Arabidopsis thaliana: one gene and its partners. The protein of the gene in region 3 purifies or fractionates together with the protein of the main gene of each other region. This does not show direct contact. Each region holds a gene or a part of one and is shown on either strand. Other genes may lie near its edges.

Region 1 (8,612 bases), 6.5 Mb from region 3:
TAGTAGATGACCAAAGATGCAAAAAACTATTAATCCAAAAACTCTATTTTTTTTTCTAACTCGAAAAAGAGGTGTTTTGCAAGATTTTAATAGCGTTTAAGTTTTCATGTAGAAGTTCTCGTCTCCTACAAAGAAAAAAAGATCACATGAATATGATCTAGCGCAGAGTAACTTGTTTCACATGTTTATTTAGAGGTATCAAACGGTCTGTTGACAAAAAGTAACTAGTCAATGGTGAAATTACCCATGAACACAAAGAAATAATGATATATTATCTCAAAGTAAAAAATTTAAAGCTTAAAGTTTTTCCAGTAAATGACCAAAGATGCAAAAAACTATAAATCCAAAAACTCTGTTTGATTTAATCCACTCGTACGTAACACCAAAATATAAAGTATAAACACCCAAACTACACAATTCAAAACCAAAACATTCCCTAAGAATTTGTTTACTTGGGCAAGAAGCATCCAAATTCAATGGCTCTCATTAAGCCAATCTTCGTCACCATTTACCAATCTCTTAAACATATTCAAGCATCTTCTTCTTCACAACTATCTTAATCCTTTGCAACACATTCTTCGCTGTCTCCTCAGTGACAATCGCATCAATCCTACTAATCAAACCCAATACGAATCTGAATTCTGTAGTACAATACCACCATAATTGTTCCACTACAGCGGTTTCAACTTCCCTAAGAGCTTTCCCAAGAAACCCTAATTCCATTCCTCTCTTCACCGATTTCAACATCTCATTCGCAAGATTCTCCACCAAATCAACACGTGTCGTCTCCAACAAGTGAACCGCCGCACAGAAACCACCCACAAAGGCCAAACCCCACTGGCTCGAACTCTCTTCCTCTTTGTTACCTAAACGTTTTAAGATCGCTGGAAGAAGATTATCCATGAGAGGAATCAAAAACTCCTCTCCATCCAAAGGCATCGACAAGCTCTTGAACACGGAAACCGCTTTCGCAAACTCTGATTCCGCTTTAGACGAGATAAACTCACGCAGGTCATACCACGTTTCTTCCTGAATGGTGAATATCTCGAAAGCGACACGGTTCACGAGCATGGAAAGAATCTTTAAACTGTTGTTCGAGATAACTTGTTCTTCAAGGCATGATATGAGTATAGGCGAAAGTATGTGAACCACTGCCAAATTCAAAGAGGCTTCTTCTATGATGAAGATAACGTGGAGTAATATCATCGCAATCTCTCTGATCTGGTATGGGACTCGTGGATCATTCGAGGAATAGACACGCATGAGCTTGAGGGAGAAGCATCCCGGGTAATTGGCGACGCAGAAACGGAAGAACTTGATGTCTTTATCTTCTGGATTCTCCGGTGGCTTTGTGAGGGCGGCGATGAATTCCACCGTCGGTTCAACGTGGGGATTCGCAAGAAGCTTGAAGGCGGCTTTGGTGAAGTCTTGGGAGGTTGGTTGCTTCGGCGACTTCTGATTATCCATGGGAAGGTAACAGAAAGTTCCGGGAGATCAATAGAGTCTATAAAACGGTTGAAGAAGAAAAGTATATCACTGCTTTAGATATATCTACGCACGATTAAATTAGGTTTGTTAAACTTTTTTTTTTATTTATTTTTTTCTAAAATTAGGATAATGATAGGATAGGATATTTTTCTGCTTTTTTTTGTTTTTAGTTGGATATTTTTCTTCACCATTACTGGAAATCATTAAATGAATCTTCTTGAAGTTTTAAAAGATTCTTATAAAAAGAATATCTTAGAGAGTAGATATTGTAACATATTTAAGAGTCTACATTACAGAGAATTATATCAATCAATTCATATGATTACTTTCTTTAATCAATCCCACTAATCTTTCTCCTAAAAGAGAATGTGGAAGAGGCTGAAGTTGTTGACACAATGTCTTCCGGAGGAAACAACACAGAGTCCGAAGAAGAAGAAGAAGCAACTCAACCACCAATTAAGAAGATTAAACAATACAGTCACTGTGTTGTTGTTGGAAATTAACTAGTAAGGAATTAGAGTTCCTTAGTTAAAAACTCATCATCATCCTCCCATGAATTCTTTATGTCATTCCCATTCACATCTTTATGTTATTAGCTAATGTAAAGTCATGATGATATTAGCGTGTTTCAAGGTTTACTACTAACATTAGCGAATTGTAACGAATCAACATTTTCTCTCTTACTCAAGAGGCAGTATTTAAAGATTGGACAACATGAAACGCACTCATGTCTATAAGAAATTCAACCCCCAAAGAGATTTAATCAGATCAATGTCAATAATAAATTTATACGGACACTTTAAGTATAGCTTTTTCAACCAACAAATAGAACCAAAAACATGACTCTAGAGAATTCCCAGACCAAACCAAAACAAAAGCTTCCCATGTTCCAACTATATATTTCCGCAACCAGAAATTTGGCTCTTCTTGCTCTATTCAAACCAAAATTAAGAAAAATGTGTTTCTTTTGAGTGATAGATAAATGATAAAATAGACGCTGGACAAATCCAATTTGCATTTGCTCAAAAAGCTCTTTTAATCTACATGAAGTCGAAGTCATCCATGGCATCATAAGGACCAGCCACTAGATCGTCATTGGCCTTATCTACAATAAGTTGTTTCTTCTTTCCACCTGATCAAGCAATGCCAATGGTCATGAAAAACGGATTCAGAATAACACATTCATAAAACTATAAACCAAAGATGAAGTGATTGTGAGTAACACATTCAGAATAATACCTTTCTTTTTTCCCGCAGCAGCTTCTTTCTCTGCCTTTAGTTTTTCATTTGCTATCGTTGTAATGGACGAAGCAACATCTTTAACATCAGCTGCTTTCATGTTGGTCAATGAAAGTCTCATGATTGTTTTGAGCAGCGCTATATAGTGATAACTTTTCTGCAACAGAAACCAAACTATATTTTCACACATCATGAGCTTCAATACTAGCCAATGAGAATAAAGGTATATAAGGCAGAATACAACATACCTCATATGGTTTAATCCTATGAGAAATCATTTCAGCATATTCCAAAAAATCGCTTTCAGACTTGGGGATAAACATATCAAGGTTTTTGTCATCATCCTTCACTCCAAAGAGCTCAGCAGTTGCCCGGTAGTCGGCTTCCTCAACAAGCCTGTGATAGAAAGAATATAACATATAAGGTCACATAGACCTTCACAGCCTTCTTCCATACACAAAGTACAAAAGATTAAAGTGAATTATTATGTGTGGGAAAGATATTATTTACAAACTGTACCTCTGCTGGCGAAGTTTCTCCGCTATAGGATCTAGAGGTTTTTCTTTTGGTGCTTCCTTTGGAACTTCGACTGCTTTACCCTTCTTTTCAACAGTTTTGGGGGCTGCTTTCTTAGGAGCCTTCTCCGGAGCAGGATTTATAACAGGCGGCTACAGAAAAACAACAAGGCAAAGCAGACAAAACATAAATATTCCCGTTGGAATCTCAAACCAAATTATACGTAGTAGCCACTAGCCAATAGGGAAAGAATTACAGAGAGTAAAAACTAAGCTATACCTGAGCAGGTTCATCATCATCATCCTCCCATGAATCCTTAATTTCATTCTCATCCACATCTTCATCATCCCAGTTACTTTTAAGCTCAACTTTTGCTGGAAGTGGTGCAATTTTCTCGTCCTCTGGAATCAGAAAATAAAAATTATAAGACTACTCACATGCTAGTGATACGATTTTGAAATATCAAATATGAAACCCATCAGATTAGCAAATAATCCAAAATTGCTTGCATATCCAATCAAATACTATAAATAAATAAGAAGACTATAATTAGATACAAATAGAGAATATAAGAGAGGACACTTAAAGCATAGTCTTACCCCAGTCATCCATATTTGCTGCAAATTATCAGGTACAGATATAAGCTTCTATCTGAGTCCAACTGGTAAACCTGCCAAACATACGCGTAAGCATCAGAAACACGCTTATTTGATCAAACTACATTACTGATCAATCATTCAATCCACATAATCAAATACACTGATCCCCATGTGTAAATATGCTTAAACTACTTGTAGTAAGCTTGCTAACTTCACATCATAGACAGAGAATACTGATACTATTACTTTACAAATCAAGGTTTCACAGCTAACAAAAACACATAGGCCTAATATTTCACACCCAGGAAAAACAGCTAAATCTAATGCTTACAAAAGACAAGATATCTTATATCAATTAAAACTATTACAGGCATGTCAGCTATCTAAACCTGAACACAAGTTCCATGAACTCTTAGAGAGATACCAAACAAAAACAGTCCCCAAAACACAAGAATCTTAAACACATAACTAATAATTTCCTTCTGATTTTGGTAATCCAATCCTATGGATTTGCAACATCGATATGAATTCCTCAATCGAAATCAATCAAAATGGTTAAAACCTTAAGAAGTCCTTGTTTCAATAAAAAAAGGATTCAACTTGAACATCATCATGCAAACAAAGAGCAGAGAAAAAGTAACGAATTGGTCATAGTAATCTACACTACACACAGAGAAGTTTTGATGATAAAGTTTGAATCATTAACCATGAATTCGAGAACCCAACATTAAGAAATCAAATCAAATCAAAATCATAATTTGGAGCAATTCTATAGAAACCCACCAGAGAATCAATCGAAAATTAAGATCTAGAAGCGAATTTAACTGAGAAAGGAAAACCCTTTGATAAGAAAACATACCGAGGAAAGTCTGAATCCAAAAGGGTTTTTCGCAGAGGAAGAGAAATCGCAAGAAAATTGAAGCGTTTTCGTTGGATTAGAAATCTCCGATGTGGTGGTTTTTGCTTCAGAGGTTAAAAAGAGATTTAGGGCTTTTGTGTGTTTCCTTTTGTTTTTCGTTAGATTTTATGCCTTTTTATAAAGCCTTTCCACCGTGGCCCCAACATGTCGAACCGATCAAAGTATAGACCAAAGTTGTTTGGTCAATTTCGGTTAGACTGATACGGTCGAACCGATCACCGTGGCCCCAACATGTAACTTTTTCCATCTTACACTCTCCATTTTTTTATTCCGTTTTTAATCATTTTTTTTTGGAGTTTTTGCACAATGATTTGAATTTGCTGACCAAGTATTAAGTACTTTTTGCAAATGAGGGTTGAAGGGTATTCTCACATGTGTGCAATCGATTGTAGAAAATACTTATGTATTCGAGATTGAAGTTTAAGTTAAAGGCTTTGATTTTGATTCATCGTATGTATCAGACAACTAGAGTTGTCCATCCAAGTCAGATTATCCCGAATATTTGTAAGCTTCTTGACTCTACAAATTGTTTAGGTCCATTGAATATTGAAGCCGTTGGTAAGCCAATCTAGAACCATATCAAACAACAACTTCAATCGATTAGATCAATGTATTAACGATCTACTGTGATATAGTGGACAAGAATCAAGATTCAAGATTCAAGATTCATTCCTCACACACAAGCTGAGTTAAATCATCACCTTTCATCCACCTCTAAGCAACAAAAATAAAGTTCATCACTTTAAATTACTTAAGAGCTACATTTGAGCTTATGACCATGACCAAATCTGAAACAGTATCCACTCAATGTATATGTGATTCATATTTTGCAACTACTCATATAGTTCTCACAAAATATTGAATTAACCGTTGAAAACAAATATAGAACATAAGATTAAATTATAATAAACTACAATCTCTTCTTCCATTTATCATATAGAACCTAAGATCAAACGGGTAAAACCACACAGTACACACTGTAAGAAACTGAAGCTTCTCAAAAACTAGGAATCAAGATTCATTCCTCAACACAAGATGGATTAAATCTTCACTTTTCATCTACCTCGATTCAACAAGATATAAAGCTCAACACTTTATATTGCTAAGATCAAAGGTTGATTGAGCCTATGAACATGACCAGAATCTGAAACAGCATCCACTTACCAAAACTATGATTTATAATGTGAGTTAGAACACTGAAACTGTTAAACTATCCTCTGACCAAATACTGAATCATATATTACTAGACCAAAAAATGTCAAACCTTCCTCTGTTGAATTGCACTAAATTAACCGAAGAAAAAAATATGAACATGGAAAGCAATTATGCATATCTCTCACATTTTCTCATTGGCAAACTAAGTAAACTAAAATGTTGTCTTAGATTCATCATAAAAACATGAACAGATTTAATCTTAACCCTTTCATCTACCTCAATCCTCAAAACAACAAGAGAAAGTTCATCACTTTAAATTTCTAACAGCAGAGTATAAACTTATGAACAATAGATACGAAACAGTATCCACCATTCCACCTACTAAAACTGTGATTCATATGTAAGCAAGAAGAACACTGAAACCAAAATATTCATAACCCTCATATTATCTCACTAGCAAACTAAGTAAAACTACAATCTCTCCTCCAATTCATCATATATAACCCAAGATCAAATGGATTCAACCACACAGTATACCAAAGTGAGCTAATCAAAAACTAAGAATCAAAATTCATTCCTCAACACAAGACAGATTAAATCTTCACCTTTTCATCTACCTCAAACCAACAAGATATAAAGTTCAACACTTTAAATTGCTTAAAAGCAGAGTATGATCAACTAGTTAATAAACATTGACAAACAAAGTAAAACTACAATCTCTTGTTCAATTCATCACATAGAACCACAAGATCAAATGTTACAAAAACGCTAACCTTACAAAGCAAAGCTTTTGAGGAAATCAGGATCACGTTTAGCTTTCTCCTGAAACTTCTTAAACCAACGATCCAAAATATCCATAGGAACAACCAATTTACTTCCATCAACACCACAAAAAGACTGCATAAAGTTAAACAAATTCTCTCCAACTTTCATAGCCAATTTCTCAATCCTCCTCTCCGCAACAACATCCAACGACCTCAACGCTGCTACATCCTCCACCGAAACACCGATCTTCGCCGATAAGGAACTCGAATCACCCGCCGTGAGTTGCATCTTCGCTGCACTACCAGGTTCAGGCCATTGAAGTGATAAAACAGCAGAAGGTCTAGCTAAAGTTACAGCACCACAGAACACAAAAGCTGATCCTGGAGATTGAACATAAACAGCTAAAGCTTTATCTGGTGGAAGATTGAAATTGTTTAACAAGAAGATACACATCTCTGAGATTTGATCATAAGCTTCACCTGTAAAAAAAGAAAAAAGGTTGGATTTTTCGATTAGGGTTTTTGATTTTGGGAATTAGGGTTTTGAAAAGTTTGGTTTTTGGGGAGATGGGTACTTACCGACGAAGTGGTTCATGTCGAGAACCCAGTGGAATGTGTCGATTTGAGTGAAGGTTGAGATGTCTATTGGGAAACTTCGATTGGGGAAGACGACTCCGAACATTGTTGAGTTTTTGGTTTTTTTGAAAGGTTTTGATTTTTTTTTAATGTGAGTGAAGTTTTAGTTTATGTTGGTGATGGAGTGATGGAGTGATGTAGATGATTGAAAGAGAGAGGGTGAAGAATTTGAAGATGGTTCTAGAAGATTTGAGAAAGAGCTATGTACTCCGCACGAAGACTTTTTTTTGTGTGACCGCGGAAAAGATTAACGTTATTTTATTTTTTGGAAATTTCATTTTTCTACCTAAAATCATGTACAATAGAGGTGTTCAATAAATAAGAAATTCAACAGTTGAACCATTACAATAAAGATGTTGAAAAAGAAAAAAAAACTTATGTGGATTTACTTCTGTTAAATATTTTCAACATGTTGAAACCAAAAATATGGGATCATAAATGACACATATTCATTTCTGATTGGATATTAAAATTTTTAATCTCACCCTAACTATTTAACATCAAGTATACTAAAATTTTTATTTATATATATTTTTATATCAAAATTCATCATATTTTTTTTCTCTATAAATAGTTTTGTATTTATTAAACAAACTATTGGAAATGTTAAAAATTAAATAAATATTAAATTAGTAGGTGGTCGAGAAATTTATGACATGGAGTATGAAAAAAAATAAAAAAAAGTGTTGAAAAACCAAACCAATGTATATAGTCTAAGGGATGATTGGTACACCATCTATTCACGTATGAAAAATATGATTCCATTACTCTCTGCTATTTGAGATATTCATCAAGTTTGATTTACATATTTTTACGTTTGCAAAAAGTATATACTTAAAACTAGTTTTCAGCATTTTATTTCATAAAAACTTTAACTAATTCAATTCGCTCCGTCATTATTTCAGTTACTCCATAGTTCCGTTATTTATTTGACGTATTAATGAGGTCTTTCGTTAACCAAAACAAAATTATAATTTTCCTGTCTTATTCCATTAGACCATTACGCGTTTGGCATAAAGAGGCAAACTCACGTAAACCAATGTTGACTTTTCTTTTTTCGTTTGTTCTTTTTTCTTCTCTAACTTTGTTCGTAATAAGTTCAAAATTTTGTTTACTTTGCAATTGCAAAGAAACTTCTCATTACATTCCTTCACCATAAGCTTTGCCACTCCTCTATAAAAGGTTCCGTAAAATGCTTAAACAGACACATCTCTTTGAATCTGTATTTTGAAACCACTCATGGCTGCATCTACTTCTTCTTCTTCTTCATCATCATCTTCTTCTTTATCTTCTCCT
Region 2 (8,728 bases), on a different chromosome or scaffold from region 3:
ATTTGGTTCCAATATACGTACTAATACTATTCTCCTATATATTTCGTTAGGTTCCAATATACCAGAAGAAAAATCTTATTGAGTTGCGTCAATCAGATGGGCCTTAACTCTCTAAACCCATAAGGTCTCTCAAGTTCATGTACCTTGGAGTTTGTTAAAATCTCATTTTCTCGAAATTTCCTTAAAATAATACTTTTGTTCAACACATGGGAAAAAGAATGTAACCATAATATGAAAAGAATAAAATGCACAATTACACAGCAAAATGTGGGGTACTGCAATTACAAAAGATGAAGTATGGAAACCATGTAAGAGTATCATATACTTTCTCTGCCGATAACAAGTGCTAGAACTTTTTTTTTTCTTTTTTTCTTATCTTCTTATTATCCTTGCCAATAAAATTGATAATCAATGTCATGTAATGAAAGAAACAGAAGATTTTTCTTTTGACTTTTTAACATTTTAAATATTGAATGTTCTTCCCTAGCCCACACTACACATTGAACATGCTTTGAAAAAAAAAAAACTATGACTAAAGATCACAAACTTATTAGTAACAGATTGTTTTTTTTTTTCGTTGGCAAGCAACTATTCTGCCTTAAAAGCGTTTTTGTAAACTAAACTTTCATTCCTAATTGATGATGATATTCACATTCACGTATATATAAAATATGTAAACGATATAGGAATCACACTTTAACAAAAAAAATTGTACTAATTAAAAATAGAAGAAGAACTGGCGCAAAATGTAAAAGCAAAAGAGAGATTCAAAGGGAGATTTGAGACTTCAGTTTCATGTGTCGTCATTGCCATCTTTCAACATCACCTAAAATCTTCAGAGAAGTCAACGAGGAAATCTCGTCCGTAGGATGATGAAATCGTACAAACTCTGATGATGCATGATCCTCAAAGTCATGGGTTCACACAATGTGGTTAAGTTTCTTCTTTCGTGTCAGAAATTATCAAATGAAAATGCGTCTCATTATTCTCGCCTACTTTTGCTTCTTCTTAGAAATTGCCTCCTCCATGCATGTTATTTCAAAAAAGTTCTTCGTCATGCATGTCTATAGAATTACATAAGCCCAAAATTATTCCTACAACCTATGAAACTTTGTTCTATGTCTATGGAATTACCAAAAGCCCAAATCAAAGCCCGTATAAGCCCATTCGAGATACTTTTTGTGTTCCTCATTTTCCTCTCGGTGCATATCCATATTCCATCTGTTTCTCTTCCTTGATTATCGGCCAATCATAGAACAAGAAGTAGAGAAAGCAGAAGATACACTACAGAGACAGAGAGAGGTAAATAAAAATCAATCCTTTAGATCTCTCTTATTACGTGTCTTTAATGATTCAATGATAATCTTTTTTGGGATCTTCTTGCTCACATTTAACTGATCTGATCTGATCTGATAAATAAACAAACTTAATAAAACATTTTCAAAATTCAGATCTTGACAAGATGGGTAAAGCAAGAGGAGTGAACAATGGCGTGAATGAAAGTTCTCTCGGTTATCTTTTTGGTTCCGGCCAGCCTTCTTCCGCTGCTGCTGCCACAATGGGGACTACTACTACTACAACCACCACAACTACCACCGATGGGACCGGAGGCAGACCGATAACCACCACGACGACCACAGTCACTGATAACAAGAAGACATCTGCAGGTGTTAGAGGAAGTCCTAATAATTACTTCAGATCAGAAGGCCAAAACTGTGGAAACTTTCTCACGGTAACAGGAGATCTTTAGTCTTTACAAAGTTTTGAGATCAAAGAATTGACTTTTGATTTGGAAACTGATAAAAACCAAAAATGTTTGTTGATGAGAACAGGACAGGCCATCTACTAAGGTTCATGCAGCTCCTGGTGGAGGATCTTCTCTTGATTATCTGTTTGGAGGACCAAGTCCTGCTGGATCTGGAAACAAATGAAGTTACTTGTAGTTTTTTTCCCACTATTCAGATTCGTGTAAATCATCAAAAGTGTTGGCTTTTATCCCTTAGTGAACCCTGTGTGATTCAATTGTGATGTTTGCCTTTTGTTCTCTTCTTTGTCTTGTTAAAAGGAATTTTCAGACAATGTTCTCTTTAAGAGTTCCAAGAAAATAAACTAAGTACTGATCAACCAAGAGATCTATATCAAATGAAACAAACAATGCCCACAAGATCTTGCGTTGAATCAGCCATGTTCAAAGCTCTGATCAATCGTAGGAGAAATGATTCGAATTCAGCCATATACTTACGTTTTATCATAGAGTAGAAAGAAACAGAGTCAAATCAACGACCAATTGTAGGAGAAAGGATTCAACTATTATAATTCATAATCATGCACTCTTCTTCAAGTTCTAAGATTTAAACATAGCTATAAGCCACAAAATCCTTAACAAAAAACTAAAACTTTTAGGGGTCAAAGACCACAATTCCGATACAAGAAAGCAATTAAGAAACTCGGACGAATCTGAGTCACGGTGAGAGTGCTCTAGAATCCTAGCTTGGTACGGCGCCAGTGCCTACGCTTAGCGTTGTACCTGTGTGAAGGTGATGGAACAATGGAACTCAGTATCAAAGTCTGCAACTTTTTCACGGATCGAATGAAAAAAGTTTACGAAAATCTATAAACCTGATTTTGTTATCAGTACGGAGACGGATCCAATTAGGGATCGGTCTGTTCTGTCTCATCTTCTTCCCTAGCTTCTTTTTGATCATGAACGACTTGTGCGACGGCTAATATCAGAGACCATGAAATCGATCAGGCGAAGGAAATATTTAAGAGAGATAGAACAAAGGATACAGAGAGGGAGAGAGTAAAAGTACCATCTTGACTTCAACGGTGGCGATCCGGCGGAACACGGCAGCGTTTAAACCCTAATCTTCTCAAATGTTAACTGAGGAAGAAATCGATTTTTATAAGGGTTGTGGACTAGAGCTCAATCCTGACCGTTGGAGTTTTCTCATAATTTATTAGCCGTCAGATAGGTAAACCGTTAATTTAGGAATCGTATTCGGTTCCGGTTACCTTTAACCGGAAAAGAAAAAAATATAGAGATTTAGGGTTTCATTTTCTTCTCTCTCTCTTGTCTCTGCTGGTCGGCTGCTGAAACAAGTTGTAATTGTGGTGCATTTGTTCTTCAGCGCAGCCGAGAAGATTCGAAACCGGAGCTAAGCTATGACGACGATTGTTCCCACCTCCGAAGAAAATCCCTTTCTCGCTGTTGTCCGATTCACTTCCCAGCTCGCCTGGGCCGATGCTGGTCCCGAGGTAACCTCCACACCTTGGTTGTGAATTTATAGTGGGAATTTAAGAATGTCTATCTTAAGTGAGATGGGAAATTTGATCTGGTATATGTTGTTTCGTTCGAAGAATCTGATTGGTTATGGAAGGGTTTGTTGATAGTTTCTGGACTAGAATAGTTTGTAATCTTTGAGGATTCTGATGCATCCGATTAGTTCAACCATCTAAGATTAGTTTCATTAAGCGACTTCTTAAGTTTTCAAGGCTTGCCTGTACTTAACTAGTTATCGTTTCAAATTTTAGGCAGCAGAGCCAGAAATTACCAGGCTCTGTAGGGAGGCTGAGGAGTCAATGGTAGCAGAGAAGTGGCTTGAATTGTCTTCGTTAATGGTCACTTCAGCTGAATTGGTATCTTCTAAGATATCTGAGAAAGGTTTGTGTTCCTATTCTTACTTATACCTGTTTATTTTGTATGTCTTTCGAGTATTCAATTCTCAGTGATTTGCATCTTTTTTTAATTCAGATCTTGAGTGTACCTACACCATCATTTGCAGCATTGTCAAGAATGCGAAAAGCCCTGAGCAAGTCCTTGAAATGGTGAAAGCTATAGCTTCCAAGGTTGCTCAACAACCCAGTGACAAAGCTTCACTTCGTTTGAAGATGTATGAATCGTTTCTGCTTATTTCTGAATGCTTTGCTCATTTATCACACTTCTCATTTTTTTTTTGTCTTAATCTTTGTGTAGCCTCTTCAATCTCTATAACCTGGTTGACCACCCGTATGCTCGATTTCAAGTATACATGAAAGCTCTTACACTAGCTGTTGATGGGAAGGTTACTGAGTACATAGTTTCTTCTTTTAAGAAGATCGATAACTTTCTGAAAGAGTGGAATATTGACATTAAAGATCAGAGGGAACTCTTTCTTGCCATTGCTAATGTGCTGAAAGAAAACAAAAGGTATTGAAACATAATTTATACTTTATAACTATGCTCATCAGTCATTCTCTGTCTCTTTCTTTTTTTGTTTCCGTTTGGGTATAACAATAGCCTCATGGTTTTTTCTATTAATACTCCAGCTTGGTGAATGAATCCCTTAAGTTCTTGACGAAGTACCTAGCAACTTTCTCCAATGAGGATGCTCAGGTCCTGGATGAAGCCAAGGAGGAGGCTGTGCGTGCAGTTATCGAATTTGTCAAAGCTTCCAGTATTTTCCAGGTATCATAATGTGAATTGGATTTGTCTTTCTTGTCCTGACACTGCTCTTTTATATTTGATTGGAATTTCAACGATGGCAATCTTAAATCTTGCAGTGTGATTTATTGGACTTGCCAGCCGTAGCACAATTGGAAAAGGATGCTAAATATGCACCTGTTTACCAACTTCTGAAGATTTTTCTTACTCAGAGGTTAAATGCCTACACGGAATTCCAAAATGCAAATTCGGGATTTCTGCAAAGCTATGGTACTACATTGTTAACTCACTAACTGTTTTTGCTGAAATATGATCTCCTGATGAATCCTGTGGTGTTTCTAGGACTTTCCAATGAAGATTGTGTTACGAAGATGAGGTTGTTGTCACTAGTGGATTTGGCCTCAGATGAATCTGGCAAAATACCTTACACCTCGATTAAAGACACTCTTCAGGTAAAAACTCTCCTCTGCTTGCACTTAACATGAAATATTGAGACCCTTTTAGTTTCTCATTTTTCTTTTCGTTTTCAGGTAAATGAACAGGATGTCGAGTTATGGATCGTGAAGGCAATAACTGCAAAACTGATTGAGTGTAAGATGGATCAGATGAACCAAGTTTTAATTGTCAGGCAAGTCACACATCTATTGAAACTCTGCACTTATCTAAACGCAACATTCATTATTTGATGGTTTGATTCATATCTTACAGCCGCTCTTCCGAACGTGAATTTGGGACAAAGCAATGGCAATCTCTCCGAACAAAGCTTGCGACTTGGAAGGTAACTACAAAAGCTTTCACTTATTACAGAATTTTATTACAAAACATCTCCTGAATCTGATTCTTATGTGTGGTTGTGTAGGACAACATTTCAAGTATCATAACTACCATCGAATCGAATAAGGTAACGGAGGAAGGTTCTCAGGCATCATCATCATCTGCTGCAGCTATTCAAGGCTTGAGTGTTCGTTGAAAAAGCTATCAAGAAAAACCGTTTCATCCCCAGAGAAGCTCAATTCTATAACGAATCTTTTGTCTTCCTTAAAGCTTTTTCTCTGTGTATTTGGCTGCAGGGTTTTTTTGATCTTTGAATCTTTTTTTTGTCCCTGAAACATATGCGGAGACTTTTCCTATACATTATTTTTTGCTAGTAATGTTTCTTAACTTGATGCTACACACTATTTCAAAAGTTTATACTGAATATCTTTTACTTCCCAACATGGAGATAGAGAACAAAGAAGTGGTAGCCATTTTCAAGGGGATCTAGTTAACCATCTAATATTAAAGCGTTGTACAGGAAGAGGACAGACAAGAGAGAACACAAAAAACTAAGCTACCAACTCTCTCTTGATGGGTTATATCAGTTCGAAAAACTGCAGCAGAAGAATTCTACACTTGATGATTCTTACAAGTTTCCATGTAGGAACACAATCAGTAACAAGGCCATTGCTGCAAACAGGGAACCGACTGATTTGTGCGAGCCGGTATTGGGCAGCCAAGGGTAAGAATCAGGAGGAGGCATCACACAGTTATCTCCATTGAAATAGATTCTTCTTGGAAACGCCCAACCTTTCTCAAATGTGAAAGCTGATGCTTCTTTCTGGAAAAGTAGCTCAGATTGTACATTACCAAATGGCCCAGCTTGCATCAACAGATCATTGTAGAACTTTATTCCCCAGAGAATCCCAGTATCATCTATATCAAATCAAAAACAAAAAAAACACATCAAGATTTGTTCCTTTCTATAGAAACAAGGGACTGATAGATGATGGTGTACTTACTTATGGAAGCATAAGGAGTCAGAGGTTTATAGTTGAAGCTAAAAGTCTGAGTTAGATTGTCGAAATTCGGATGCTGCACGACGAGATTCCACTGTGAATAGTTCATGTTGTAGTTGAAATTTGTGATGGTGACTTTAACTCTCCAGTACTGTTTGTAGTTGACTTTCACATGCCAGTGGATTCTAACTGGACACATATGCTTTGTACATTGGACCAGAGGCGGTATATATGCGTTCTTCCCCGGATTTGGAATGACTGATGCTATCCGTGGACCTTTTGGGCTGTGTGGACAGACAAGACACCAAAATTAACCAAACAAGTTAACATATTTTCAGGTAATGAAAGTTATGAGAAGAACTTACTCTACACAATTCCCTGGCTGAGAAGTGTTTCTGCATCCACAAGAGCATGTTGGACAAGAAACTATTGTCTTGTTATAAAACGATGAAAGAGATACACAGCAAGTTGGTGTTTTCTGAGCTAAGAACTGCGAGTATGTGCAAGTTACATTCCAAGTCACTGTCACAGCAGAAAAAGAAAAGCCAAAACTCAGTTTTCATTTCACTCAAAAGTCAAATTTGTTTTGGTAGAGTTCAAGAACTGAGTAACTTACTTAATGCTTGAGTAACTCTTCGTTTATCAGTACCGATGAATCTAGTCGGTTTTACAATCTTCGCGGGGCTACAAGTATATCCCGGTCCAGGAGCTTTGAGAGTGAAATTCTTAGGTACCCTAACTGTCTTATTTGTGGTTCCAGCTTGTCCAACAGTAAGCTGGAAAGCGGAAACAGCAGTTGCGGGATCTTGAGCCCACGAGTTAAGCACACCCCCTCTGCAACAATTAGCAATCTGCTGATTGTAAGGAGATCCAGGTAAGAGATCAACAACAGAAGGTGTCTTTTTACAGCAATGAGGAATGGTTCCTTTGAATTTAGAACAATCTCCTTGTTCTGTGGTTTGTCCTCCATTCATTCCCCATATAACCTCTCTCTTTGCCCATGACCATCCAAGAGTCCAACCTGGAGCTTGAATGTGTCGATATTGCTGAAAATTATATACCGTTACAGTCGCCTGCACCGCGAGAAGATTCAAGATTTTAAAAATCACTATCAAGATTCAAGAAATTCCCAAATTTGAAGCTAATGTAAATAGATACCACATAGCCATCTCCAGTCCAGGTTATGATATCCCATTTGACAGTAATGTTCCCACTCGGGTCCAAAGGATCATAAGCTTCTGAAACAATCCCAAAAGCAACACCATGAGCACACAAAATACTGAAGCTTTTTTTTGTTTTCTTATCTCATAGATTCTCTCTTTCTATAATAACAGAGCATTGAAGATGAAAATGTCAAAAAGATCTTCTCTTTTGAGGATAAGAAGCTCCTTCAAAACAATTATACGGCTTAACATACAAAATAACTTTCTTCTCTCTTTCCCTATGTACCCAAAAGCTCAAGCAATTGCAAGATCCAAACTTAAAGAACTCAATAAACACAAGCTCCTAGCAAATAATTTTAAAATATGCACATAACTAAAACATGGGGAACAAAGAAGGAAAGTTGCACTCAGAATCATTGACGAAATAAAACCCTAGCAAGTAAAATACGGTAATGAACAGAGAAAAGCTTGAATAAAGATAGAATCTTTCGGCTTACCTGAAGGAGTTAAACCAGAGAAAGAAACTAGAAAGATTATAGAGATTCCGAACTTGAAGAAGATTGAAGAAGAGGAACACAAGAAAAACCCCATTTTTTCTGAAGCAAAAAAAGAGAGAGAAACGCCTCTTCTTCTTTAATCTTCTGTCTCTGACAAGTGACAAGACAAGGATGAAGACTGAAGAAGCTCGACGTAATATACAGAAACTTAAGCCAAAGTGATTAATAACAATGAAAAGATTATAGTAACAAGAAATGACGAATTAGCTTCGAAATCTTTGTGATTAATCTTCAAAGTATAATGAGTTTTTAAAAAAAGAACTCATAATTGTTCATTGAAAATGGAGACATCCAGCTTTTTGGGTTTTTGTGTGCAGAGAGATTAATGAAAGCCAAAAGAAGGCTGCTTTAGTGGGGGATGAGATGGGTTTTTTCGTGCCAAGTGTTATAATTTGACTTAATGCACAAGCATTAATGCACTTAGCTAGCAATTCTTTTTTTCAATTTCAAACATTCTTATTCACATTTATAGTTTACTTATATTCGCATTTACTATTTAGTAATCCAAAGACTTTTTGAAAGTCTCTAGAGAATACTACTACTAGACTAGACAATTAGGTGTTGTTAAAGTGGGCCGATAAAGAACGACTGTTAGGCCCGTTTAAGCCCGTCCCATACAAGAAAACAGAACAAAATTTATAGTATTCTTTGCTAGTCTTGCATTGCAGGTGACCAAGTAAAAGTTTTATCAAAACAACAGGAATAAACAGTCTTGCAAAATCTCACAATCCTACCAAATTGACAGTAGTACAACCAAACATGAGTTTATTTCTGCAGTTGAGATTGCTCATTTTCATCACTGTCTTCGCG
Region 3 (6,935 bases):
ATTTCAAATTATGATATAGAGTAATACGTACTAATTTCATATTTGGCACATATGTATGGGGTTTGAGTATTGGATTTGTGAAAAAGGTATGAAAATGAGGGAAAGAAGAGAGTAAAAAAGGTTACTTTACGTTCAAGGAAGAATGGAGGTGGAGTGGTACCATTTTTAAAAAAAAAAGCCAAATAGTCAAAGTTTTGAATGTATTTGGTATGACCTACTGTTATTGGAGGTTGGGCACATTTTTTAACCTTACATCTTCAATTTATACTATACTTATTTGTTACATAAAATAAAGATTGTTTCGATATACGGGTTCGAAATAAGCCGAGAAATGCTCAAAATTAGTTTTTGTGCTACTTAGTAAATAGGACAAATTAGATTCGAATTAACTGAGCTGTCTAAATAAAGTTTGAGTAGTCCGACGTTTTGATATCGTCGCCATAATGCACGGTGGTAGTTGACTTGATGATGACTCTGATATTCCTTCTTTTTTTCCTTTCTTTTTGTTAGTTAATGACTTTGATATTCGGTTTATATTATTTAAGATTTCATTTCATCAAATATTAATTGAATGATGTTTAAGAAATTAGAGAGTTAAATATCTATTGCATATATGTCAGTAGAATACTACTTGTTTTATTTTCTTTGTCCTTTTTTGGTTGTTGGCAAAAATGGTTTTTCTTTGTTCGTTTGTAATAATCTCAATAGTAACAATATATATACTAGTAATTATCAAATCCATATAGTGATATACGCGAAGCAAATGAATCAGCGGTAGATGAAATCTCTCGTTTGAATATTTGATATTTGACTAAGATTGCGGGGATACATATAGTACGCATGCATGGATGTGAAAAACACGCAAATGTCGCGTTGCACCGGACATTTTCTTAAATTGCACTCTAACATTCTCATATCCTAAACTTTAGGCCTTATTTTCTTATTAGAGTATGTATTTACAATATTTACTTGATTATTCTCATAATTGACATATTGAAATTTGAAGCCCACAAAAAACAAAGCTTCTATAGTTCTTCTTCCGTACATTACGTTAATTTGATTCATTCCCAGCTGTAACACAATGATATATATTCGGAACTATATAGTATAATCATCCGTACAATATTGGATTATAATTTAACACATACTGTCTATGGGCCTATAAAGGCGGATAGGCCTGGACACGAAGCAAATATCCGGAAAAATTGTGATATTTGTTATTTGATTCGTTTTAATCGAATACTTGATTTTATGATTTGCTTTGATTCGAAACTTTCCGGATATCCGGAATTTTGAATATCCGAATTTTTTTGTGATATTTGCGGATATCTACTTTGATACGTATAAATATTAAAAAAATATGTAAACTATATAAGCATATCAGATATTCAAAATTTTTATTTAACATACTTTCAAAATAAGTTATAAATACCAAATATAACCTTTGTTGTTATTACCGGTCAACAAAAATGTTATCAAACTAATTCCAAAAACTAAAATCCGATAGTTTAATTTTGATGTCATTGATCAAAACACAACATAAAAAAAATGATAAAACAAACATCTTAACATAAAAACATAAGGTAGCAACAATACACAAACTATTTATGATATCTACATATAGATATAACTATATATTCTAATATATATCAAAAGATACGGATCAAAGCGGATATTCGATTTTAAAAAAGACAATATTTGCTATTTGATTCGGTTTTTACGAATACTACATTTTCATATTTGCTTTGGTCCAAAATCTTACGGATATTCGGATTTTTTGAATCAAATCAAATCGAATACCGAATCGAAGCGGATCGAACGAATATTTTACCCAGCCCCAATAAAGGCTATAACACACCTTGAGAAAGTTCAAATTCCTCAAGACATAGAAAGTAGCTAAAATATTCAAGAAACGTCTCCAACAAAAGCCCAAATATTAACAACTGGAAATATAAAAGGTTGTCTACAAAAAGCTAGCCAGCAATTTTTCAATGAATTAAGTACCCGTTAAGTTGATTTTTTCACATATTTTGATTCATTTACACTTTTTTGTTGTTGTCTTATAGAAAGTAAAGTATCCGATTCATTTAGACTTTTAAGTGTCCATATATATATGGTGTGAGATCTCACAATTCAAAAAAAACTTATTATTGAAGTGAAAGATGGTAAGAACTTTAACAAAAAAAAAAAGAAAAAAAAAAAAAGATCGTACCTTAGTGACTTGGGTGGGGTGACATACGCAGGGAAGCCTAACAGTCAAGCTCCTTATCGCGAAAGGCCCATTACCTTCCAAAGACAAATTCTGGATCAGATGACCATTATATATACGAGCTTATTTGGAAGAAAATCTTCATTCAACAACCCATCTATTAATTTCCACCTATTATTTAAAAGAGAGATGAGAAATGACGTAAAAAAAAAAAAAAAAACGTTTTTCTAGCTCTAGAAATTTATAGATGGGTTGTTGAATGAAGATTTATCATTTTATGTATTCGATACTATGTTAAATAAATTTCTTTAATCGAGTTTGTTTTCATGCATGTTCTATTAACAAGTATGTAGATCTTGGAAAAAGAAAATATTTTGATCTTGATAAAATTCTTTTTCAAATCTCGATTAGTTTATTGTTTTTCCGAATTTTGCATTTATACTATTTATGTGATGTTCGTTTGTTAGTCGTTGGCGACCGCGACCAAATGTTGTTCGTATGGAAGTCGCTGGATATAGCGACCTGCGATTATAATTTTTGGTCGCTATTTATCTTTACGACTGATTATAAAACGCGATGTCTGAATTCAGTAAACTCGGCGACGGTATTGTTTTACATTCTTTTACATTTTAAAACTCTATTATTTACATTCTCTATTAATTATAATGATGCTCACTAATATAAAGTTTTAAAATGTGATCAATTGTTTCAAACTGCATTTGTCTTAACAAAATTCAAAAAAAAAATATAAATTTTTTGAAATAAATGTTTTATAAATATCAAAAGGTAAAGCTACACTAATCTTTTGCATTGTATTCGAGTAATATAAATCGAAATGACCAAAGTCTCTAAAGAATGAATAAGGATCAAATTTCAAAGAAAAGTGAAGAGTAATCGTCAACTACAAGAATCTTATCCTATGCGTACTCTTTCCTTATGAGTGACACAATAGAAAACAAACCCAACTGATTGATCCTTGTGAATAAGATAAAGTCCCAATCAACCTCTTACTTATCCTGCGCATATGCACTGTCCTCTATACTATCATGCGCATATACAAATGTCCATTCTTATCATGCGCATATACAAATGTCCATTCTTATCATGCGCACCTCAACTTAATACCAAACAAAAAAAAAAGTTTCACAAAACTCCAAAAGGTAAAGAATCTGACCCATTCACATATGCGTTTCAAAAACACTATCATGTCCACCACACGATTAAACCAAAGAGAAGAGAGAGAGAGAGAGAAACAGAGAAGAAAAGATTGAAGCAATCGAATGGAGAGTGTGGTGGCAACATGGAGCAGAGAAGAAGAGAAAGCATTCGAGAACGCAATTGCGTTGCATTGTGTAGAGGAAGAGATAACAGAGGATCAATGGAACAAAATGTCGTCAATGGTACCAAGCAAAGCCTTAGAAGAAGTAAAGAAACATTACCAAATCCTTTTAGAAGATGTCAAAGCAATCGAGAATGGTCAAGTTCCTTTACCTCGTTATCATCACCGCAAAGGTCTCATCGTAGATGAAGCAGCAGCAGCAGCTACTTCTCCTGCCAACAGAGACTCTCATTCCTCTGGATCATCTGAGAAGAAACCAAATCCTGGCACCTCCGGGATAAGTAGCTCCAATGGAGGAAGAAGTGGTGGCTCGAGAGCTGAGCAAGAGAGAAGAAAAGGGATTCCATGGACTGAAGAAGAGCATCGGTTTCTTCTTCTTCTCCTTCATCTCCATCATCTATCCATTGATATTATTTAGACTTAAAAGAGTGAAAAAAGATTTGGAAGATTCTTTACCTTTATTGAATACTCTGTTTTGTTTGGAAGGTTGTTTCTTTTGGGTTTGGACAAGTTTGGGAAAGGAGATTGGAGAAGCATTTCAAGGAACTTTGTGATCTCAAGAACTCCAACACAAGTTGCAAGTCATGCTCAAAAATACTTCATCAGGCTTAACTCGATGAACCGAGATAGAAGGCGGTCTAGCATTCACGACATCACCACTGTGAACAATCAAGCTCCTGCGGTTACAGGAGGAGGACAACAACCGCAAGTGGTTAAACATAGACCAGCTCAGCCACAACCACAGCCACAACCGCAACCACAACAACATCATCCCCCAACAATGGCTGGATTAGGGATGTATGGTGGTGCGCCAGTGGGACAACCGATCATCGCACCACCTGATCATATGGGTTCAGCTGTTGGAACACCTGTGATGCTTCCACCTCCAATGGGAACTCATCATCATCACCATCACCATCATCTTGGAGTTGCTCCTTATGCTGTACCGGCTTATCCGGTACCGCCATTACCGCAGCAACATCCAGCTCCGTCGACAATGCACTGACTGAAAACAATACAGTTGGTATTAAAACTGACATATATTGTACTGAAAACTTGTGTACATTCTCAAATCGAATAGCGAAACTGCGGCAAATAATAATGTACAGCAGAGGAATCTGTTTTTCCATTTCAAATCTATGATTTTCTTCTCAATATATTTCTTGAAACAAAGGCCTATAGGAGGATTTCATATTCAGACAGTAGAGAGAAAGTTGAATAGAAGTATACATAGATACAACAAACAAAACATATTAAAGAGTCATAGACCAAGTGTTGACTAGAAAATTTCACCAAAAAATACTAAAAGTAGCGTAGCATGTTACTATGTAGCTGCCAAAATTGAAGTTTTATAATCTAAGAGGTGAGATAATGGGGTCTCAAGTTTATACTTATCAGAGAAGATCTCTTGTAACTGAAAATAGGCATGATGAAACCAATTGAGCAATTTGTTTGCAAAATACATAACAAAAACGTAGAAGCACAGGCCAACCTGATCTCTTATTCCAGGGAAAAAAAGTAACCAAGTCCAAAAATATGATAAGAAGAGAAGTAAAGATTCAATAATGTAAAATTCTTACAAGAGGTTAAGAATGGTAAAAACTTTTCAAGTGCCAAACTGGTGACAGACGAGAGATTCCATAGATCATCGTTGCTTCTCTACTTCCAATCTCATTTTGATGCAAAGTATTCTTATTTGCATCCAAATTGCAGGAACCCTGGTTAAGAATCTTTGATGTGAGAACTGGGAGAATAATGGCTGGAGTAGATGGTCATGTTGTTGACAACTCATGGCCTATAATTAGGTACTTTCTTGAATTTCCTTTGAATAGAATTCTTAATACATTCATTGACATAACCTCTCTTTTTTTCCTTAGATGGGCTGGGGGAAAAGATGATAAATACTTTGCCACACTTATCAAAAACACTGTATCTGTTTATGAGACTAAGACTTTCAGACTGCTACGCAAGAAGGCGCGGCTGTGAATTTTGATGATGTTGTGGGCATGTCTTGGTCTCCTACTGAACCAATCCTTTCACTGTTGAAAGGGGATGTCAAGAACCAGCCTAAAAAGGTTGTTTTTCTGCAAATACCGGGCTATGTGGAGCTGATGCACAAGGATATTCTCAGCGTTAGCGACTGTAAGATGTACTGGCAGAGCAAAGGAAAGTATCTTGCTGTCCAAGTTACTCGACATACGTGCTCTCTGTTTGAGCTTTTCCGCTTCAATAAGGTACAAGGCATTACCACCGAGGCTCTTGAAGTGGATGAGAAAATCCTTGCTTTCGCGTGGGAGCCGAGCGGTCACAGGTTTGCCGTGATTCACGGAGATCAATCAAAGCCAAATGTCAGTTTCTATTCTATGGAGACACCCCAAAACCCTGGAAAAGTTTCAAAGCTAGCTACCTTTGACGACAAGGAAGCTGATGCTCTCTTCTGGTCGCCAAGAGGCAAGCACATCGTTCTCGCTGGTTTGAAAGCTGCTTCAATGGCCATCTCGAGTTTTTCGACGTGGATAAGCTTGAGATGTAGTAGGTAGTAGGTATACAGTCATGAGCATGAGCAAGCTCTTGACAAGATATATGACCAGACGAGGAGTGACCGTAGTGTTGCGAAGTCATCTTACTGTTTGTTTTCAATAAATGCATCTCCAGTGAGACAATGAAAAAAAACAGATGCCAAAATCCCTCGTCAATGAACCAACAAGAGTATTAAGGGAAATTAACTTACTTTGAGTTGATTAAAAGTTTAAACTCAAACAACGCGTTTGGGCCTCTTACGGCCCACAATGATTTCAGCTGCTTCAAAAAAGTTGGGAAAAAAACGCCGTTGCCGGGGATCGAACCCGGGTCACCCGCGTGACAGGCGGGAATACTTACCACTATACTACAACGACTTTGATGTTCCTTGATCCTTCACTAAGGATATTCAACTTTTTAACTTCTTGCAGTTATTCATTGATGGATTTTAATAGAATTGAAATTCAACAATAATGTACTGTTATTCATCTAATGATTCTAAATCCAGCTTTAAAATCTAGTGTTACTGGAGCTTATCTTTTTAAATCATGCTTAATAGATTTTAAAGTTTGTTGTTATTCAATTAAGATTTTAAATAGTTTATTAAAATTCAGTGTTATTCAAAACTAAAAGACTTGTAAAATATTTGTATATTAATTTATTTGAAATGAAACACTTTTGGAGTTTCATGAGTAAATCATTAGAATCAAAATCCAAGATATACTCCAGAGATTTTGAAATCCAAGCAAACATATTCTTAAAAGCAATATGCCAATATCAGGAAGTCAATCATCTAAACTTTAAATAATAGATTTTAACTCCATAATTGAATAACACCACCTAAATATATTAACCTTCTCAAGTCCT
Region 4 (7,587 bases), on a different chromosome or scaffold from region 3:
TTCCCGCTGTGGCGATTTGATGTTCATGTTAGAATCATACATCGATGTTAGTTGCTTTTTTATGAGATTGGATCAGAAAGTATTGTAGTATGTGGTTGTGTGTGTGTGGTCCGCTCCCTAGCATAATCTATTAGTTTTTCAAACTTAACGGGGTTAAATGTTGTCTTTTGCAGTTTTGCAGCTAGTTTTAATGAGAAGTTTATAAGAACGATTAGGCATTTCTCCCCACACATGGCTGCAAAAATGAGACCTCCCCACATGTGAGTTCCATATTAATTAGGTTCATGGAAGATATAAATAGGGTTCGTAGTTACATTTGTAATTTTATTTAATATGTGATCACTGCAGGCCTGTCATCCGTGGAAGATCGACAGCAAGAAAGACAGTATACGTTTGTGGGAAACCGCGATGGGTATTCGTTATTACTTTCCTTACAGGTACTTGAATACTCATAATTCCTCTTTATGTAGTTAATGTAATATTGGTGTTAAAAACTGATCAATGTGTTAATTTTCTCATGTATATATAGCCAGTCTTGTCATGTGGTTTTCTTCCTGCGGTTTGTTGTGGGTCCTCTATGCACTTCTCACTTCCCTTGCTGGTAAAGTTATTCCTCCTGTTTGATCATAGATGTCCTTTGATGGAGTTTATGTTTTGACCTTAACATTTTTTCTCCACAGTGATCATTGTTCATGCAAGCATAAGAACCCCAAATCTCAAGGCACGCTTAAACACATTCCGTGAAGAATTCCGGGCTGTCTGGCGTAACTACAGTGAACTTTAAGTCACAGGTCGCGCTACACAATCTAGAAACAAACAAAACAGTCATCTGACAAGTGAGGGGATGCTTTCCCTCAACCATGTTCGCAGTTTATTCTTATGATGGCAGATGTAGCTCTATTTTTACATGGTTAAGATGGTTATTGGCAGTTCGATAGCAGACAGAATAGATTCACTTGAAATAGTGGACATACTTGACCAAGTTACTTCTAATTGGTGTAGTGATGTTTATACTTTTCTCACTGTCTCACAATACTCTTTTTTTATATAAATAGATCCAAACATAATTGAATGGTGTTTCAAGTACAAAATTTGGAAGACAAAGAGCATCGGAAAATAACATTGTTTTCTTATTTCAATACTTGACAAAGTTCTTGAGAGATTTCAACCACAGTAAGTGCTCTCTACTATCCTTGTTGATCATGTACTCGTGCAAGAAGTTGATCATGCTCGGCTTTATCCCTCTAATCTCAATGTACCTATGGAAAGCCTTCCTTAGCTTTTCATCCAAAACCCTGCAGAAAGAAACCATCAAAGATCATCGCTTTGATTCTGGTAACATCAAAAGCTTAAAACTTTTTCTTCTATTACCTGAAGGAAGGTCCTTCATAAGCAAGCTCATCTTTGGAAGGATCATCAGGAAATGTAACCCACATGTCCTTGATCGCAATCCTGTCTGGAAAAGCAGTACATCTAAATTCCAAACTTGGTCCTGTCTTCTTGGAAAGAGTTACTAAGAGAGGCACATTCGATTGCTTAGGCTTCAATGGCTTATCCTCATCTTCATCTTCTTCATTCTCTGCTTCTTCCTCATCATCTTCATCATCTTCTTTGTCACCAGTCACAAGATTAGTCATGTGTACTTCAACTTTAACAGTCTCTCCTTCATATTCTCTAGTCAATGTCACAATCTTCCCTCCTGGTTTGTCTTCCATTTCGAAAGGGAAGCCACTTGGAGTTTCTTCAACCTTTATTCAAACAAAAGAAGAAACAGAGAGATTACACACCATTGCCATTGAAACAGAGCTTCACGAAACACATAAATCTTAATAAACAAAATTTGCAGAAACTAAAACATGAAAATGGTAAGGATTTACTCGATGATAATCATCAGCTTTCTCGGCGTATCCAATCTCCTCTTCAATGATTCGAAGAAGCGGATCAGTTGGAGAAGCTCTCTTTTTGGTCGATGTGGTAAATGGAACATTCCGGTCAACCGACGGCGTCAGATGTCGCCTCCGGCCAGAAGCGGACTGGTCCAACAATGAGTAAACGAAAGAACGGTTTTTCCAATAACTTCCCACAAACCGAGAAGCTGCGCGACGTACAAGAGTCGCCATTTTTTTTGTGTTGAAGCTCAAATTGGAAGAGTGAGGGTTTTTATTTCCCTTTAGGGTTTAATATAGCAAATTACAAATTTAGCGGGACTTAAATTAAAAATCACAGAAAATCAGGACCGGCTAAAAATACGGGCCAATATGGGCCTAGTGGCCCATTACGACATTAAGAGACCGTTTCCATAATCCGAAACCCTAGTTTGCTTCTGTCTTTAGTTGTTGCCTTTTAAACTAAACTAACGAACTTAATAAGCGGCATATCTAAATCTGAGAAAAATGGCGATTGATACGATACAAAAAACAAAAAAGCTTCGGTGGGGAGAAATTGACGAAGAAGAAGGCGACTATGATTTCCTTCTTCCGCCTAAGCAGATGATTAGTCCGGACCAGAACGGTGTAAAGAAGGTGATTGAGTACAAATTCAACGAAGAGGACAAAAAGGTCAAAATCACTACCACGACCCGTGTTCAGAAGCGAGCTCTCACCAAACAAGCCGTGGAGCGACGGAGCTGGAATAAGTTCGGAGACGCAGCTCATGAAGAATCCAGTAGTTACCTCACAATGCGTTCAACAGAGGATATCATCTTGGAACGAATTAGAGCTCCTGGTAAAATCTTCAACTTTGCATTTTAGTTTGTTAGGATTCGTTGTTATTATGCTCTGTTTTGATTAGGGTGGCTAATTAGCCAGTCACATGTTAGCTTTATGGCTACTGTTTGTGTGAATGGTCAGTAAGCACACCTATAGCAATGTCGTTGGTGATTCGTTTCAACACTAGAACAGGATTTAACCCAGTTTTTGGTTATGGATCATCAACTATATCTTTGGTTCAAGTTTTTTTTTTGTAACTGTGTAACATAACAAAGGTGCCCAATTAGCCGATCACATATTAGCCATATATGGCTGCTTCTTTCTGTGATTGGTCAGTATGTCACCAATATAAGTATCTTGTTGGTAGCCTTTTCTGAATGTGGACAAATTCTGTGTTCTCTTTTCTAGGCTATTAACTGTACACATTCAAGTATTCATTTTTACATAAGTTTCTTTATAGGTGGACACGTTAGTCAGCCATATTGTTCTATATGTGGGTGGCCGTAATGCCCACCTAGATGTTTTGTTGGTGGCTTCTTGCACGAAAGTAGATTTCTGCTTTCACTTTATAGCTGCCAACTACATTTTTAGTTTTTGCATTACCATCTTAAAGGGTAGTATTATTTTGAGGTTTTAAGATGTTTATTCTTTTGAATATCTCAGGTAGCAACGCGGAACAGTCGACCGTATCAGGAGATAGCATGTCTCAGTTGGGCAAACCGGGTGCGGTCCTCATGGTCTGCAGGTTATGCCAAAAGAAAGGTGACCACTGGACATCAAGATGCCCACAGAAGGATCTCTTATCCTTAATGGACGAGCCTTTAACAGCAGAAACTTCTACATCGACCATAACTGGAACTGGCAGGGCGGCTTATGTCCCGCCAAGCATGAGAGAAGGTGCAGACAGAAAAGCTGGTGGTTCAGACATGAGGAGTAGACATGATGAGAACTCTGTCCGTGTGACTAATTTGTCTGAAGATACCCGTGGACCAGATTTGATGGAGTTGTTTCGTCCGTTTGGTGCTGTAACCCGTTGTCATGTAGCCATTGATCAGAAGACAAGCATGAGCAGAGGATTTGGTTTTGTCAGTTTTGTGAGCAGGGAAGATGCACAGCGAGCAATCAACAAATTGAATGGCTATGGTTATGATAACCTCATTCTTAGGGTTGAATGGTCCACTCCTAAAACCCAATTAGATCCGTTTTCATTCGCTGATTATAATAATCTTTGTAAGTTGTTGAATATATGTCATTCATGATTATAAGTTCTCGCGATACATAGTAATTCATGTTGGGGTCTCGTATGCAAGTTCCTACTAAATGTATTTCGGTTGAATACGTGCAAAAAAAGTAATAAAACTCTCTTTATTACGGCAAGCATGTTACTTAGAAATGATCATAAGGGAAGGACCAAGTAAGGGCAATTAATCAAGTGAATATCATCAAATTCAAAGAGATGGGAAACAAGGACTCGAAAGGCTCTTCTTCTTCAACCAATCCGAAAGAGGAGATTGCTGCTGTACCTCAGCCTCAACAGTCACCACCGCAATTGATCCGAAAATCGCAACCACAGCAGCCATTACCACCACCTTCGTCTGAGATGCCTCTTCTCTATCCGTGTTACAAAAAAGAAGACTATGAGAAAATGAGCGAAGAGACAATCGATATGCTCTTAGCGACTTACGGAATCATGACAGTCCCTGGCGATTTAGCTGACAAGAGAAAGTTTGCTTTTGAAACCTTTCGTTGGGATCATAAGAACAATCACCCCAAAGCTTAGCAACTACTTGTCTAGTATAATGAAACTAACGTTTTATGATTGGACCTAAACACATTCATAATTCGTTCATTAACACAAGAAAATATAAATCAAAATGCTAGTACTTGTACAATATCGAATATTTTAATCACTTTAACATCTCTTGAACAAGTTTCAGAAAAAATTGTTAAGACTAAAAGGCCCTAATTTTACCAAAATAATTATATTTTATTTTGAGTTTTGCCAAAGGTCCAAAAATGAATTGAGCCGGAACTGTATCCAATATGGAACATAGTTTTTACAAAATTATAGTTTTACAAAATTTAAACTATATCCAACATGGAACAAAGTTTAAACCCGCGGGCCTAATGGGTTTTATAAAATTTAAACGGATAGCCGGTTTTAGAAATCATAGTTTTTTTTTTTTTTGACAAAGTTTTTTTCTTTAAACTTGTTAATCTGAGACAATTTAATTCTTTGAAGAATATATGAAAACACTAAATTAATCATGAACTTTTACTATACTAAAAAAATAAAGAGATCTTCAATCTTCAATGGTGGAAACTGAAAAGTCTTTTTTTTTACTTTAAAATTTAATTTAATTAGTTAAGTAAAGAATAAATAAAAATACCAAATAAAAATCGTGAACTTTATTTTTAATGTTATAGTTTGATATCCACTGTTAAAACATGAAAAAGATTGTACCAAAACCCATAGTTTCTATGAAATAATATCAAAACGGGCCTAAAAGGATTTAAATGGATCAATGCAAATTTAATGGATTTAAAGAGCAAAACTTAACGGAAATGGGCTTTAATAGGCTTAAATATTTTTTGGTTAAACGGGCCGGGCTTAAACGGGCCGATCTGCCTGTTATAACATCACTAAACAAAATTATGGACTGCAACAACAATAATGTCTTCTTTTGCTTAGAAGCGATTTGAAACTTTTTAAGTAGTTATGATGTATTTATTTTCTGTAGATTGCTTTGATCTATTTTTTGTAATTTTTGTAATTCTGTCAAAAATAAAATAGTATAAAATTTAACCTTTTACTAAAAAGAAAAAAAACAAGATCTTGTGAGATAAAAGTATTAAAAAAAGTCTCATACAAAAAAAAAATTAAACTAAAAGTTTGTGTCAGACTTAATTAAGGCAATGTGGTGCTCACTTGAAGAAACTAAATCCTATTTTAATTAATAAAAGCAAATAAATAAACTAAGATGGATGTAGTATGCCACACGTCCAATACCAATGTTTATCTTTGTAATATAAGGATTCTATGATTTTGGTTATTTTTAAAAATGTATATCTTTATAAATCAATTTAAAATCTCTTGAGGTTTTGCTAATTTAGGTTATTATAAGTAAATAAATATAACTATTTTTAAGCTACTATGTTACTATTTTTTATTTTCCTTATTAGTGAAATTTGTAGGATTTTCACACATGTTAAGAAAACATATTAAAAAAAAATATTTTTGTGATTTACAATTTGCAATAACTCTAAATTAATAGTACTCAAATATGTTTTTTTCAAAATTTATAACTCATCAATAATAACTAATAAATATTGCATAGAAAACTTAAAATATTTTTTTGGAAACTAATTTTTTTTTTAGAAAATAAAATAATAAGGAACAAAGAGAGTATAAATTATGAACTATTGAAGATAATGATATCAATAACACATCATAATGATAAACAGCTCATCTAAAAAAAATCTCATATCCACCTTCTCCTCAATGTTTACAATCTGTATAGTGATGATATTTGTGACATGCTATGAAACGTTTCAACAAGATGGAGAACCATTTCCAATTAGAGGTCCTCTTACGAGGATCACGGTTAAAAACAATAACGATTATTTGCTTGGAATCCACTGTAAATCTAAAGATGATGATCTCGGTTTCCATATTCACAAAGAGGGTGAATTATATGGTTGGAAATTTCATGTAAATTTTCAGAATTCAACACTATATTTCTGTGGATTTAGCCAAGGACAAGATAATAAAGGCGTGTTCGACATAGACAGGGCGGAAAGAGATTTTTATAGATGTAGAAATTGTACATGGAATGCAAAAAAAGATAGTCTATATGGTTATAGCAACTTGCCTCAAACAGTTACATGGTTTTTTAAGTGGTTAAAATAGTACTAAATTGAATTATCATTGCAAATATAAATAAAATAATCTTTTAAGAACTGTATAAAATTTGCATATTATGTTGTTAACCTAAAATAAAAACTTGTTGTCGAGCATATTAGAGCAAGTTTTAGTAAGAGAGCAAATAAGAGATGTGAGCCTTTAAAAGTATAAACTTTAAGAAGTGTCAATGGCTGTTTAACAAATCAGAAAACAAATAGTTAAGGATAGACTGAAAACAACTGATTTTCTTATATTTTCCTTCTGATTTTCTTATATTTTCCTTAATTATTTTTTATTTATATTTTTCTATATTTCTTTCTGATTTTCTTATATTTTCCTTCTGATTTTTCATATTGTTCTTCTGATTTTCTTATATTTTCCTTCTTTTTTTATATATTTTTTTTATAGACTTCATAGCCAAACACTATATGTACATATGTAATCTTTTATCTGCTTATAGAAAACTGAACAATTTGGACCTAGTTGAAAAAAACAAAATTTTAAACAGGAAAGCCAAACATTACCGAACGATTACTCGAACCGATTATCTAACTTTGGTTACATTGGTTTTGAATGTGATTTTGGGTTGTTTAAAAGGATATTGAGTTGGGACCGGGCATATTCCCGCCAGATAATTCTGAAGAATGTATTAAGAGCCTTCAGGATGTGATCTTCTTCTTAAAATTCTTTCCACAATCTTTTCTGCAATGATTTTATGACGGTGGCCGGAGATATTTTACCGGAGTTCCTGGAAGTAAAGAATTTACAAACTTTGAAGAAACTCATTACATTTTTTTTTCCTCTATGTAATCAGTGTTTGAGAGAGATAGAGAAACTATCTTTTGCTAGATAAGTTTCATGTGTTTGTTGGTTAAGCTCATATTATTTATATTTTTCTTGAATATTTCTTCTGTTTACTTATACGACATAAATTACATATGTACTTATAGTGTTTTCTAGAATCATTTACACAAG

What was found.
Region 1: the proteins of AT1G49015 (region 3) and AT1G66070 fractionate together in Arabidopsis thaliana (co-fractionation; one large-scale study listed by BioGRID). This does not show direct contact.
Region 2: the proteins of AT1G49015 (region 3) and AT3G02200 fractionate together in Arabidopsis thaliana (co-fractionation; one large-scale study listed by BioGRID). This does not show direct contact.
Region 4: the proteins of AT1G49015 (region 3) and EIF3G2 fractionate together in Arabidopsis thaliana (co-fractionation; one large-scale study listed by BioGRID). This does not show direct contact.

The regions. Positions count from the first base shown.
Region 1 is NC_003070.9:24,593,666-24,602,277, forward strand, and holds AT1G66070 (Translation initiation factor eIF3 subunit), read right to left. Parts: upstream 4,967-8,612; 5' UTR 4,702-4,966; intron 3,914-4,701; 5' UTR 3,856-3,913; coding exon 3,843-3,855; intron 3,645-3,842; coding exon 3,523-3,644; intron 3,396-3,522; coding exon 3,247-3,395; intron 3,124-3,246; coding exon 2,976-3,123; intron 2,885-2,975; coding exon 2,728-2,884; intron 2,621-2,727; coding exon 2,529-2,620; 3' UTR 2,144-2,528; downstream 1-2,143. Other genes in the region: AT1G66060 (hypothetical protein (DUF577)), read right to left, coding at 520-1,467; AT1G66080 (hikeshi-like protein), read right to left, coding at 6,691-7,160, 7,260-7,362; AT1G66090 (Disease resistance protein (TIR-NBS class)), read left to right, coding at 8,556-8,612.
Region 2 is NC_003074.8:403,527-412,254, forward strand, and holds AT3G02200 (Proteasome component (PCI) domain protein), read left to right. Parts: upstream 1-3,061; 5' UTR 3,062-3,165; coding exon 3,166-3,258; intron 3,259-3,534; coding exon 3,535-3,664; intron 3,665-3,754; coding exon 3,755-3,893; intron 3,894-3,976; coding exon 3,977-4,189; intron 4,190-4,308; coding exon 4,309-4,447; intron 4,448-4,542; coding exon 4,543-4,693; intron 4,694-4,765; coding exon 4,766-4,875; intron 4,876-4,953; coding exon 4,954-5,051; coding exon of another isoform or gene 5,052-5,055; intron 5,056-5,131; coding exon 5,132-5,201; intron 5,202-5,282; coding exon 5,283-5,393; 3' UTR 5,394-5,674; downstream 5,675-8,728. Other genes in the region: SP1L3 (SPIRAL1-like3), read left to right, coding at 1,463-1,732, 1,833-1,931; AT3G02190 (Ribosomal protein L39 family protein), read right to left, coding at 2,479-2,527, 2,620-2,723, 2,814-2,816; COBL1 (COBRA-like protein 1 precursor), read right to left, coding at 5,826-6,115, 6,202-6,482, 6,564-6,720, 6,815-7,271, 7,357-7,436, 7,859-7,952; AT3G02220 (small acidic-like protein), read right to left, coding at 8,684-8,728.
Region 3 is NC_003070.9:18,129,225-18,136,159, forward strand, and holds AT1G49015 (DPP6 N-terminal domain-like protein), read left to right. Parts: upstream 1-5,303; coding exon 5,304-5,353; intron 5,354-5,425; coding exon 5,426-5,477; intron 5,478-5,506; coding exon 5,507-6,088; downstream 6,089-6,935. Other genes in the region: AT1G49010 (Duplicated homeodomain-like superfamily protein), read left to right, coding at 3,490-3,914, 4,035-4,554.
Region 4 is NC_003076.8:1,805,776-1,813,362, forward strand, and holds EIF3G2 (eukaryotic translation initiation factor 3G2), read left to right. Parts: upstream 1-2,335; 5' UTR 2,336-2,393; coding exon 2,394-2,724; intron 2,725-2,786; exon of another isoform or gene 2,787-2,941; intron 2,942-2,981; exon of another isoform or gene 2,982-3,136; intron 3,137-3,371; coding exon 3,372-3,967; 3' UTR 3,968-4,081; downstream 4,082-7,587. Other genes in the region: PRA1.A2 (prenylated RAB acceptor 1.A2), read left to right, coding at 174-260, 349-437, 530-601, 681-784; AT5G05990 (Mitochondrial glycoprotein family protein), read right to left, coding at 1,136-1,295, 1,372-1,748, 1,878-2,120; AT5G06010 (uncharacterized protein), read left to right, coding at 4,165-4,488; AT5G06020 (Plant self-incompatibility protein S1 family), read left to right, coding at 6,163-6,618.